Macaca mulatta: one gene and its partners. The protein of the gene in region 2 interacts with the protein of the main gene of each other region in a biochemical or structural test. Links are inferred from orthologs where the notes say so. Each region holds a gene or a part of one and is shown on either strand. Other genes may lie near its edges. The genes, in order: NPPC, NPR2 and NPPA.

What was found.
Region 1: the proteins of NPR2 (region 2) and NPPC form a complex in vitro, tested with the Homo sapiens proteins (3 studies listed by BioGRID). The link is inferred for Macaca mulatta from reciprocal best matches to the Homo sapiens genes NPR2 and NPPC.
Region 3: the proteins of NPR2 (region 2) and NPPA form a complex in vitro, tested with the Homo sapiens proteins (3 studies listed by BioGRID). The link is inferred for Macaca mulatta from reciprocal best matches to the Homo sapiens genes NPR2 and NPPA.

Annotation. Positions count from the first base shown.
Region 1 is NC_133417.1:137,158,899-137,162,644, reverse strand, and holds the start of NPPC (C-type natriuretic peptide precursor), read left to right. Parts: upstream 1-1,518; 5' UTR 1,519-1,666; coding exon 1,667-1,756; intron 1,757-2,204; coding exon 2,205-2,495; 3' UTR 2,496-2,515; intron 2,516-3,746.
Region 2 is NC_133420.1:63,894,735-63,898,380, reverse strand, and holds part of NPR2 (atrial natriuretic peptide receptor 2), read left to right. Parts: coding exon 1-40; intron 41-265; coding exon 266-398; intron 399-623; coding exon 624-708; intron 709-1,187; coding exon 1,188-1,317; intron 1,318-1,479; coding exon 1,480-1,554; intron 1,555-1,759; coding exon 1,760-1,837; intron 1,838-2,068; coding exon 2,069-2,173; intron 2,174-2,297; coding exon 2,298-2,369; intron 2,370-3,646. UniProt on the Homo sapiens protein: Receptor for the C-type natriuretic peptide NPPC/CNP hormone. Has guanylate cyclase activity upon binding of its ligand. May play a role in the regulation of skeletal growth.
Region 3 is NC_133406.1:228,884,931-228,888,564, forward strand, and holds NPPA (natriuretic peptides A), read left to right. Parts: upstream 1-1,200; 5' UTR 1,201-1,315; coding exon 1,316-1,438; intron 1,439-1,560; coding exon 1,561-1,887; intron 1,888-2,709; coding exon 2,710-2,721; 3' UTR 2,722-3,015; downstream 3,016-3,634.

The DNA of each region.
Region 1 (3,746 bases), on a different chromosome or scaffold from region 2:
CCTCAGGGTATGAGAGTGGGAAGGGGTAGCCTGAGCAAAGGGCCTACAGAGCAGACCACGATGCCGCTGCCTTAGCAGCTCTGGGACCAGGCTCACTACCACGGAGGAAAGAGGGAGGTTTGGAGGAACCTGGTGCTCAAAACCCCTCTTCACTCCAGCCGCCTTCCTGCCTCAGGCACCGCTTCCTCTCCCTGGAAAAGCTCGTCTGGGCTACTGTCTCCGCAGAATCCTCTTCACGCCTGGGGACAGCCACTGCACTCCTGCGGCAACATTTGTTCTCTCTCCAGCCTGCGTCCTGCTCGGCAGCAGCCAGTCATAGATTCGTGCACCTCACTCAATTTGGGGGATCTGGGCTCTCCGCCTCTGCGGCCCACACCGCAGTGCCCAAGTGCCCACCACACTCCTTAGTGCCCAAGGGACCAAGAAGCCCAGTGCAAGGAGAGCAAGTTTGTGAGTGGTAGGGATATGTGGCCGTGTCCCGAGAGCCACGAGGACCTTTCTACAGTCAACAGTGGGAAGTTGACCACCTGTCACGGCTGGCAGAGGCTGGACCGGGCCGCTGGTTAGGAAGCTCCCTCCCCAGCCTGTGAAAGTGCACAGGATACTGGAGCGGGCTTCTCTCAGCAGCGGATCCTCGCGTGGGTGCAGGCAAGGTCAGGTGCGCATTGTTCCCACAGACCGAGTTCACCAGCGGAGTCAGACCCGGGGACGTTCTGTGTAGCCGAAACCGGCTGAACGTGAACCTAGAGCCATAACTGGCGAGCACACGATGCCGCCGAGCACACGCATGAACATGAATATCTTGGTTCCGCGCTCGCAGTCCCCTCGTTCCCGCCTCCCGCTCAAACACTCAGGTTGGCGACATGCTTGCACTCTCCAGTGCGGAAGACTTGCGCTCCCGCCGCGGCCCAGGCGAACCCCGCTCTCCCTGTGCCTCCCACCCCAGTCCTCCAACCCCATCCTCTACCTCCCCAACCTAACGACATCTCTGTGGTCTGCGCTCCCGCCCTGGCGAGCAGGTGAGAGGCGGAGCTGCAATGCCCATCCCGCGGCTGTCAGGTGCCAGGGAAGAGTTTGGCGACCAGCAGGGCTGCGTGGATTTCGGGCAGCGCCAACTTTCTGCCTGTATGACTTTGGGCAAGTAATTTCATTCCTCTGAGCCTGTCTTTGCACCTGCAAAGAGAGCTATAGATCCCTTCTAGGTAGAGTGAGTGTGCTGAGGACCCAGTGGGTGCACAGGGCACAGGGCGCACTGATGCTCATCAGGCCAGGGCGCGCGCTGGCTGCAAATGGAGTTCCCCTGTGCGCGCCGCTCTGCAGCTCCAAGTGCAGCCTGGAGCGAGCCGGCAGAACCGCGGGATCCCTCCGGGGTGGGATAAGGGAGGGGAGCCCCCGCGGCCCCCTCCCGGCCCTCGGCGCGGCCGCGTGCGTGGTGTCATTGGCCCGGGCAGCCCGGTGGGCGGGAGGATGACATCAGCGGCAGGTTGGATTATAAAGGCGCGAGGGGAGTCACGGGCTCAGAGCGCACCCAGCCGGCGCCGCGCAGCACTGGGAGCCTGCTCGCCCTGCAGCCCAGCCAGCTTGCTCCGCACCAGCCTGCTGGTCTGCCCGCCGACCCGCGCGCCCTCGCTGCCGCCCGTCTGCGCCCCTAGACCCCAGCGGCACCATGCATCTCTCCCAGCTGCTGGCCTGCGCCCTGCTGCTCACACTGCTCTCACTCCGGCCCTCCGAAGCCAAGCCCGGAGCGCCGCCGAAGGTGGGTGCTGTCGTGGGGACGCCGAGCCTGAGAGAGTCGTGGGAGGCTGGGGGCTTGGAGAATGCGGCGCGCAGGACCCAGGAGAGAGGGAAGGCAGGCGGCTCTCTCCTCCGAGATGCGCGTGGGCGAGACCCGGGGAGCCCTCGAAGCGCGGACTCGGGGGTCAACTCCCCCAGCCTCCGGAGAACGCCGGCCCATGCGCAGCCCCCTGCCCCAGCGTGGCCTGCCGGGCGAGCAGCAAAGGAGGGGAGGGCAGGGGGCTTCCGGAGGGAGCGGAGAAGGCGGCCGCGTGGCAGGTGGATGCGGGGCCAAGCTGGCCGGCATCGGTGGGGGCGGCTCTGGGCTTAGGAGGGACACCCCGCGCCGGCGGGCGCGTGGGGCTGGAGCATCAAAGTCCCCTGTGCTGCAGCCGCGCGTCCCTTCACCTGCCCGCTCTTTCTTCGGACAGGTCCCGCGAACCCCGCCGGGAGAGGAGCTGGCCGAGCCGCAGGCTGCGGGCGGCGGTCAGAAGAAGGGCGACAAGGCTCCCGGGGGCGGGGGCGCCAACCTCAAGGGCGACCGATCGCGACTGCTCCGGGACCTGCGCGTGGACACCAAGTCGCGGGCAGCGTGGGCCCGCCTTCTGCACGAGCACCCCAACGCGCGCAAATACAAAGGAGCCAACAAGAAGGGCTTGTCCAAGGGCTGCTTCGGCCTCAAGCTGGACCGAATCGGCTCCATGAGCGGCCTGGGATGTTAGTGCGGCGCCCCCTGGCGGCGGTGAGTACCGCCGACCCCGCGCCCAGCCCCAGCCCGGCCCGGCTTTGCTCAAGTTGTGCCAGGCGTTTGCCGGCCACCCCCTTTATTATCCCCTTTACAGACAAAGAAAGCGAAGGATAAAGTGATCGGGGAACTTTGGCATGGTCAGAAATGGCTCAGCCTGGTTGAACCCACCAGGCTTCTTCTAGAGAAGCAGAAACAGGCTTGGTGGCGTCTCACCCACCCCTGCACCTTAGCTGAACTAGCAGCATTGGCCCCAGCTGGCCAGCTGGTGGGGGAATTGAGGGGAGATCATGGGTTTGTGGGAGCAGAGAAGGAAGGTTACACCCACAAGTCCAAGGGACATTGATCATCTGCCGGCCACCATGCCCCCTGTAGCGAGAGTAGCCCTCTGTTGGCACCGTCAGGGCGCCCTTCTGCCTGGAGCACTCCGATTCCTGTCCCTTCTCTAAACCCAGGCAGTGGGCAAACTGGTCTATCCAGGGTCCTGTCCCTTCTCTAAACCCAGGCAGTGGGCAAACTGGTCTGTCCGGGGAGCTGCAGCCCGGTGGCTTCAGGGGTGAATCTCAGTGCTTGTGGCACTATTTCAGGGAATAGGAAAGATACTAAAGTAAATATTTTTTGCCCCACCCTCAAACTCGACATGTCCCAGAGTCCCTCACCAACCCTGTCCCCCGCCCAACCGGTGCTCTGGGCTCCGTTTCTGGTGTGGGATCTCACCCCGCACTAGGGCTGGAAACCTCTGCCCTACCGTCACCCCCTGCCGGGTGCCGCATGGTGGTAATTTACTGCTGCAGAGAGCCTCACCTCTCCTCTTTCCCTCCTCTCTATTCCTGCCGCCTGCCTGTGCCCACTGAATAACAGCATCCCAGCCTCTGACATTGACAGTCATGTGCATTAGGATCAGGCTCACTCGGCTTTCTCCCTTTCTTGCCTCCAGCTCAGCAGCTGCCACTGCCTGTCCCACACTTTGACTGTCCCATCCCAGGCCATGGGAAAGCTGCTGTCTCCACCCCAGAAACCCTTGTCAGTGTTGGGTCTTCCCCCGGAGGGAAACAAGAGCGCCTCTCCAGCACACTGTCTCTTTTTCACAGTACAGAACACTTTTTCACAGTTTGTGAACCCATTCACCTCCCCGTATTGAACAGCTTAAGGGCCAAGTGCTGGCCTAAGGCACTCTAGGACCCACTGCACCCCGTACAGACTCAGAAATATTTGTCAATGACCAGAG
Region 2 (3,646 bases):
CCTGTGGGCCATGGGAGACCTGGATTCTGGGGACTTTCAGGTGATGGGGGAGGAGGCAGGGAAGAGAGTGTGGCCTTGCAAAATTCAGCTTTCAAGGGTTCAGTGGGGGCAGAACCAAAAGTACTAGAGGAGGGACTTGTTTTATCTGCTGGTGCTGCATCCTGGCTGGGTGGTAGGCTGGGGAGAAAAGCAGCAAAACAGCTGGGGTCTGGGGAGGAGGCTGGTGGGAGTAGGCCTGTGGGCCCAGCTTTTTGCTTCCTTATAGCCTGCAGCCCACTACTCGGGAGCTGAGAAGCAGATTTGGTGGACGGGACGGCCTATTCCCTGGGTGAAGGGGGCTCCTCCCTCGGACAATCCCCCCTGTGCCTTTGACTTGGACGACCCATCCTGTGATAAAAGTGGGTGTGTGCAGGGACTGGGAGCAACCTTCCTCCCTTTGCTTTCCATTCGTGGTCTCCACCCTCACTGACCCTCCACTCTTAACTGTGCTTCTGCCTTTACGTCTGCATCCCTCCCTCATTTCTTCCTACTCCCAAGGAATCTGTCTATGCACCTATGCACCCCATTCTCCATTCTGCCAAGTCCACACACAGTCTTCCTCAGGGTCTCTATCTCCCCTTCAGCTCCACTTTCAACTCTGGCAATTGTGGCTCTGGGCACAGGAATCACCTTCATCATGTTTGGTGTTTCCAGCTTCCTAATTTTCCGGTGAGTTCTGTGTTTCCCGCTGACCTACTCCCTACCCCCACTGCCACACAGCCTCTGGCTGAAGCCAGGTGGTCACTATAATGTGGGATAGGGTAGCAGGTTTCTTAATTTGCTGGTTGTTTCTTAGATCCAACAGTGTCTTCCTCTCTAGCCTCTCTCTTTAGTTGTCTTTTAGCCTAGGTGTTTGTTCCACTTTTGGTTCTAGACTGGATATACTAACTAGTGTTTTTCAGTGGGGTTAAGATCAAAGGTGAATTTTCCATTGGTCTTCTTTTAGGAAAGAACTTTCACCCCCAATCTCTGTGTTTGTTAGTGAGCATAGGGCATGTGCCAGATATGCCGAGAATGCAGCCTCATCTTCCAGCCCTATCTCTTAGGTGTAACAGTTGCAGCTTCAGGAGCTGCAGGGAAGCCCCTGCAACCCCGCTGTTGGCTTGGGGGTGGCAGGATTTGGCTTGCCAGTCAACTGAGGTGTGCAGTCCTTACAGAAAGCTGATGCTGGAGAAGGAGCTGGCTAGCATGTTGTGGCGCATTCGCTGGGAAGAACTGCAGTTTGGCAACTCAGAGCGTTATCACAAAGGTGCAGGCAGTCGCCTCACACTGTCGCTGGTGAGCCCTTGTCTCAGCTGTCCCTCTGCCTCCCTCTGAGTTCCTGTCCCTTCTTACCCTGGATCTCTCCCAGCACATTGGCTTGTAATGATAGCCCCTGCACTACCACCATCATCTAATGTTCCTTTCATCCTTCCGCCTCCATGTTGCCCTTGGCCCCAGCGGGGATCCAGTTACGGCTCGCTCATGACAGCCCATGGGAAATACCAGATCTTTGCCAACACCGGTCACTTCAAGGTGAACAGTCATCTGCTTGTTCTGGTCCCCACCATTTCATCCTTTCTCATCCCCATCTGCCACCTCTGCCCCTGCACCTCTGCCCCTCATACCCCCCTCTCTGTGCCCAGCTGAGCTCCTGGATGCTTCCACTGCTCTCTAGCATTTCCTTGCACCCAGAACTTCCGATATTCATTTTCCTTTCCCCTTTCACTCCCACCATCAGGGAAATGTTGTCGCCATCAAACACGTGAATAAGAAGCGCATTGAGCTAACCCGGCAGGTTCTGTTCGAACTCAAACATGTATGTAACGGAGGATGGGTTGAGGGTGAGGGGTAAACAGGGATGGGGAAGAGGAGTGGGGAAAACTACGAAATAGTAAAATTGGCTGGACGGGCAAGGGGTTGATTTATAAATGATTTTAAAATTGTAGATACAACTAAGAGAAAGGTCCTCGTATGTAGTGGTAAGTTTCTGTATCTAATTTTTAACTCTTCCAATGTTCTTATCCTTCCCATTGTTTTTTTCTGCCAGATGAGAGATGTTCAGTTCAACCACCTCACTCGCTTCATTGGCGCCTGCATAGACCCTCCTAACATTTGCATTGTCACTGAATATTGTCCTCGTGGGAGTTTACAGGTGAGAGATAGGTGTAGGAGATTATGGCAGGGGTGGGGAGGATAGACCCAAAATTATACTGACTCTATGTCAGGTGATAGCTAGTGGGACCAGGACAGACAATCTATTCCATGTCACTTACCAGGATATTCTAGAAAATGACAGCATCAACTTGGACTGGATGTTTCGTTATTCACTCATTAATGACCTTGTTAAGGTGAGTTTTCCCCACTCCTTAAAAGTTCATCCACTTTTAAATCACTTCCACTGTTCTTTGATTGTGGTTTTTCTCCTTCTAGTCCTCTGAAAGTCCTGTTCTCTCATCTCCCCTTATTCCCATGGGGGGGTAATAATGGGTAAATAAGGAGTCTGGGACTCATAACTGGGAGAGTGAGTTTTACCTGCCACAAGGAGTCCTGTCCCTGTAGAGAGTTTCTGTCTTTCTGTCTTAAATATCTCAGGTCTCTTTCCATCATCTCTTTTACCTCGAAGAGCTCATAAAATGAGTGGGGTCTCTGAACATATTTATCTCCTATATTTCCTCTCATTATTTTACTCTCTGACCAATATTTGGGCATGTCTGCCCTTTTGTTCAGAAAACTGAAATTTAAAAAAGGAACTTTTACTAGTAGAACTAAGAGAAACCAAGGAAGAGTGTATTAAAAACCTTTGGTACTCTTCTGTTATACTAGGTTTCAGCTATATTCAAATGACTCAGAGGCTCATGGATTTGTGGAACATAAAATAGAATCTTGCATGAGTTGGACAGGTTTTCTGAAATAAGTCTCATAGCCAGTGAGCATCCCAGTGGATCACCCCATGCTGTATTTGAAGCTAGCTTTGGTTTTCTGCTAACTTCTCATGAAATTATTTAAAAAGTATTTTTTTGTGTGTGAAAATTTGCTATCAAGTGAGAGATAAAATATTAGTAAAGCCAATGTCATGCTCAACTAGAGGAGTGATGATAAATATAAGAAAAACACGACTCTTGAGAGAATAGTGATTTGGTGGAAAAGTGATTTACAACAAAGCCAGAAGCCTAATCCTGTGATTTTTGAAGGCATCCTTTGCACAGTTTCCACACAAGTAAATTCACAACTTCAGAGATTCCCAAAAGTTTTGTTGATACCAAAAGAAATAAAAAGGAAGAGTTCATAGAGATTAGAGATTAGACATTAGAGTTATGAATTAAGTCCAGAGCTAAACATTTAGACAAAAATGTTTTTCATTAGCATATTGAACCTTGTATCCTCTTTCTGTCTCACCTGAACGGACTTGGGTGGCTCCTAGGGTTTCATTTTTGGGGAGCATCATTAAGACTTTTTTTTTTTTTTTTTTCCTGAGACTGGGTCTTATTCTGTTGCCCAGGCTACAGTGTAGTGGCTAGATCACTGCTCACTGCAGCCTTGACCTCCTGGGCTCAAGTGATTCTCCCACCTTAGCCTCCTGAGTAGCTGGAACCACAGCGTGTGCTGCCGTGCCCAGCTCAGTTTT
Region 3 (3,634 bases), on a different chromosome or scaffold from region 2:
CACAGTCTTTCTCATTTTACACACAAGGAAAATAAGGCTGCGAAGATGTATGCAACTGGTTGGTTTGGGGCTAGAGTGCCGGTCTGTCAGTCCTTCAAATTTAGTGTTTTCCCCCAGTATACGTTGCATTGAATGGTAATGGCTAACACTGAGTTCGGTGCTTAGCAAACAGGCCATTCGTTAAACATAGACAGGCTCGTTGCCTGTTATTTCTCTTTTGGGGGCCAGAGAAATTGTGACCTTGGTGGCTCAGTCACTTGCCCCTTGCCACGTCCTCAGGGAAGGATGTAGACGGCATTGAAGGAAACCGACTATACCTCCTTCACCCCCACCTCCCTCCGTTCATCGGCTAAGTTGCTATGGGCACAAGCCCAGGAAGGGCAGGGGGCTGTTACAAACTTCAAACACGAAGAGTCTGAGCATGTATAAACAGCAAAGGAAGAAACGAAATTCGCTGCGTCCTCTAAGCCTGTCCCCACAGCATGTTGGAGGAGGGTCGCGGGGGACGTGGAAGAGGAGGAGCTTTGGAGAGAAGATGCTTGTGCTTCCCCGGCTTTTCTTGGTATTTCTATTCGGGGCTTGGAGCTTCATCACATTTGGTTCCTGGCTGACTTTATACACTAAAAAATAACTCCCTTTTGTCTGACCATGGAGAGGGACTGCCAGGGGTGAGGGCAGCCCTGTCTGAGGCCAGAGGTCTGCCCACGTGGCGGATGAGGCAGGTGTGAGGCCAGCTTGAGCATATGGACCCATTTGTCTCGGGCTGCTGGCTGCCTGCCATTTCCTCCTCTCCACCCTTATTTGGAGGCCCTGACAGCTGAGCCACAAACAAACCAGGGGAGCTGGGCAGCAGCCAAGCGTCACCCTCTGTCTCCCCGCATGGGTACCAGCATCGAGGAGAAAGAATCCTGAGGCATGGTGGTGAGATAACCAAGGACTCTTTTTTACTCTTCTCACACCTTTGAAGTGGAAGCCTCTTGAGTCAAATCAGCAAGAATGCGGCTCTTGCAGCCGAGGGTCTGGGGGGCTGTTGGGGCTGCCCAAGGCAGAAGGGCTGTGACAAGCCCTGCGGGATGATAACTTTAAAAGGGCATCTCCTGCTGGCTTCTCACTTGGCTGCTTTATCGCTGCAAGTGACAGAATGGGGAGGGTTCTGTCTCTCCTGCGTGCTTGGAGAGCTGGGGGGCTATAAAAAGAGGAGGCACTGGGCAGCTGGGAGACAGGGACGGACGTAGGCCAAGAGAGGGGAACCAGAGAGGAACCAGAGGGGAGAGACAGAGCAGCAAGCAGTGGATTGCTCCTTGACTACGCCAGCATGAGCTCCTTCTCCACCATCAGTGTGAGCTTCCTCCTTTTTCTGGCATTCCAGCTCCCAGGTCAGACCAGAGCTAATCCCATGTACAATGCCGTGTCCAACGCAGACCTGATGGATTTCAAGGTAGGGCCAGGAAAGCGGGTGCAGTCTGGGGCCACGGGGCTTTCTGATGCTGTGCTCACGCCTCTTGATTTTCTCCAAGTCAATGAGGTTTATCCCTTTCCCTGTATTTTCCTTTTGTAAAGAATTTGCTGGACCATTTGGAAGAAAAGATGCCTTTAGAAGATGAGGTCATGCCCCCACAAGTGCTCAGAGAGCAGAATGAAGAAGCGGGGGCTGCTCTCAGCCCCCTCCCTGAGGTGCCTCCCTGGACCGGGGATGTCAGCCCAGCCCAGAGAGATGGGGGTGCCCTCGGGCAGGGCCCCTGGGACTCCTCCGATCGATCTGCCCTCTTAAAAAGCAAGCTGAGGGCGCTGCTCACTGCCCCTCGGAGCCTGCGGAGATCCAGTTGCTTCGGGGGCAGGATGGACAGGATTGGAGCCCAGAGTGGACTGGGCTGTAACAGCTTCCGGGTAAGAGGAACTGGGGATGGAAATGGGATGGGATGGACACTACTGGGAGACACCCTCAGCAGGAAAGAGACCAATGCAGAAGCTCATTCTCTCTCAAGTTTCTGCCCCAACACTGTGAGTGCCCCATGGGTGTCAGGACACGCCATCTATTGTCCTTAGCTACAGTCTGCTGAGAAAATGCTTAAAAAAAAAAAAAAAAAAAAAGGCCGGGCACGGTGGCTCACGCCTATAATCCCAGCACTTTGGGAGGCCAAGGCAGGCGGATCATGAAGTCAAGAGATCGAGACTATCCTGGCCAACATGGTGAAACCCCGTCTCTACTAAAAATACAAAAATTAGCTGGGCACGGTGGTGCTGGGTGCCTATAGTCCTAGCTACTCGGGAGGCTGAGGCAGGAGAATCACTTGAACCCAGGAGGCAGAGGTTGCAGTGAGCCAAGATTGCCCCACTGCACTCCAGCCTAGGTGATAGAGTGAGACTCTGTCTCAAAGAAAAAAAAAAAAAAAGAAGAAGAAGAAGCAACTGCCACTAGCACTGGGAAATTAAAATAGTCATAGGGCCAAGTTATCTTTGCATGGCTGATTAGCAGCTCATGTTCCTCCCCAGAATTGCAAGATCCTGAAGGGCTCAATTGAAATTTACTCTGACGAGTAACTTGCTTATCAATTCATGAAGTTCAGAGGGTCATCAGGCTGGGGTGGGGGCCGGTGGGAAGCAGGTAGTCAGTAATCAAGTTCAGAGGATGGGCACACTCACACATGAAGCTGACTTTTCCAAGACAGCCAGGTCACCAAGCCAGATATGTCTGTGTTCTCTTTGTAGTACCGAAGATAACAGCCAGGGAGCACAAGGAGGGCTGGGCCTTGGGACAGACGGCAAGAGGTTCCTGCCCGCTGGGGTCTCTCCTGCATTCGTGTCATCTCGTTGTCATGGAGTTGTGATCATCCCATCCAAGCTGCAGCTTCCTGTCAACACTTCTCACATCTTACACTAACTGTAGATAAAGTGGTGTGATGGTGGCTTCCTTGCCTCTCCCACCCCATGCATTAAATTTTAAGGTAGAACCTCACCTGTTACTGAAAGTGGTTTGAAAGTGAATAAACTTCAGCACCATGGACAGAAGACAAATGCCTGCGTTGGTGTGATTTCTTCTTGGGGAAGAGAATTCAGGCCGATCGATATTCCTTGTCATTTTACTCTTTGTCAGAGAACAGAATGCTGAGGTTTTCTTATTCCTTTCATTTCACCCTCCTTTTTTGGTGGGTGGTTGGGGAGGCCTCAAATTCCACTTAGTGCTTTTTGGTTACGGGGGTTTTTGTTGTTTTGGGGGGGAACATTCAGAAAATGAGAGTATTAATTAGATTTCCTCTGATACATTTCGAGAGAGTTAGGTGCCACAGCTAAGTTAATGGCACTTTTAGTTTTGAAAAGAGTAGGCAGAGTGTTGAGCTTAAAAGCTGAGTAGGCTGGGTGTAGTGGCTCACTCCTGTAATCCCAGCATTTTGGGAGGCCAAAGTGGGCAAATCACTTGAGCCCAGGAGTTCAAGGCCAGCCTGAGCAATAAAGACCTCATCTCTACAAAAAATTTAAAAATTAGCCAGGCGTGGTGATGTGCACCGGCAGTTCCAGCTATTCAGGAGGCCAAGGTGGGAGGATGGCTTAAGCCTGGGAGGCGGAGGCTGCAGCGAGCTGGTATCGTGCCACTGCACTCCAGCCTGGGTGACAGAATGAGACTTGTCTCAAAAAA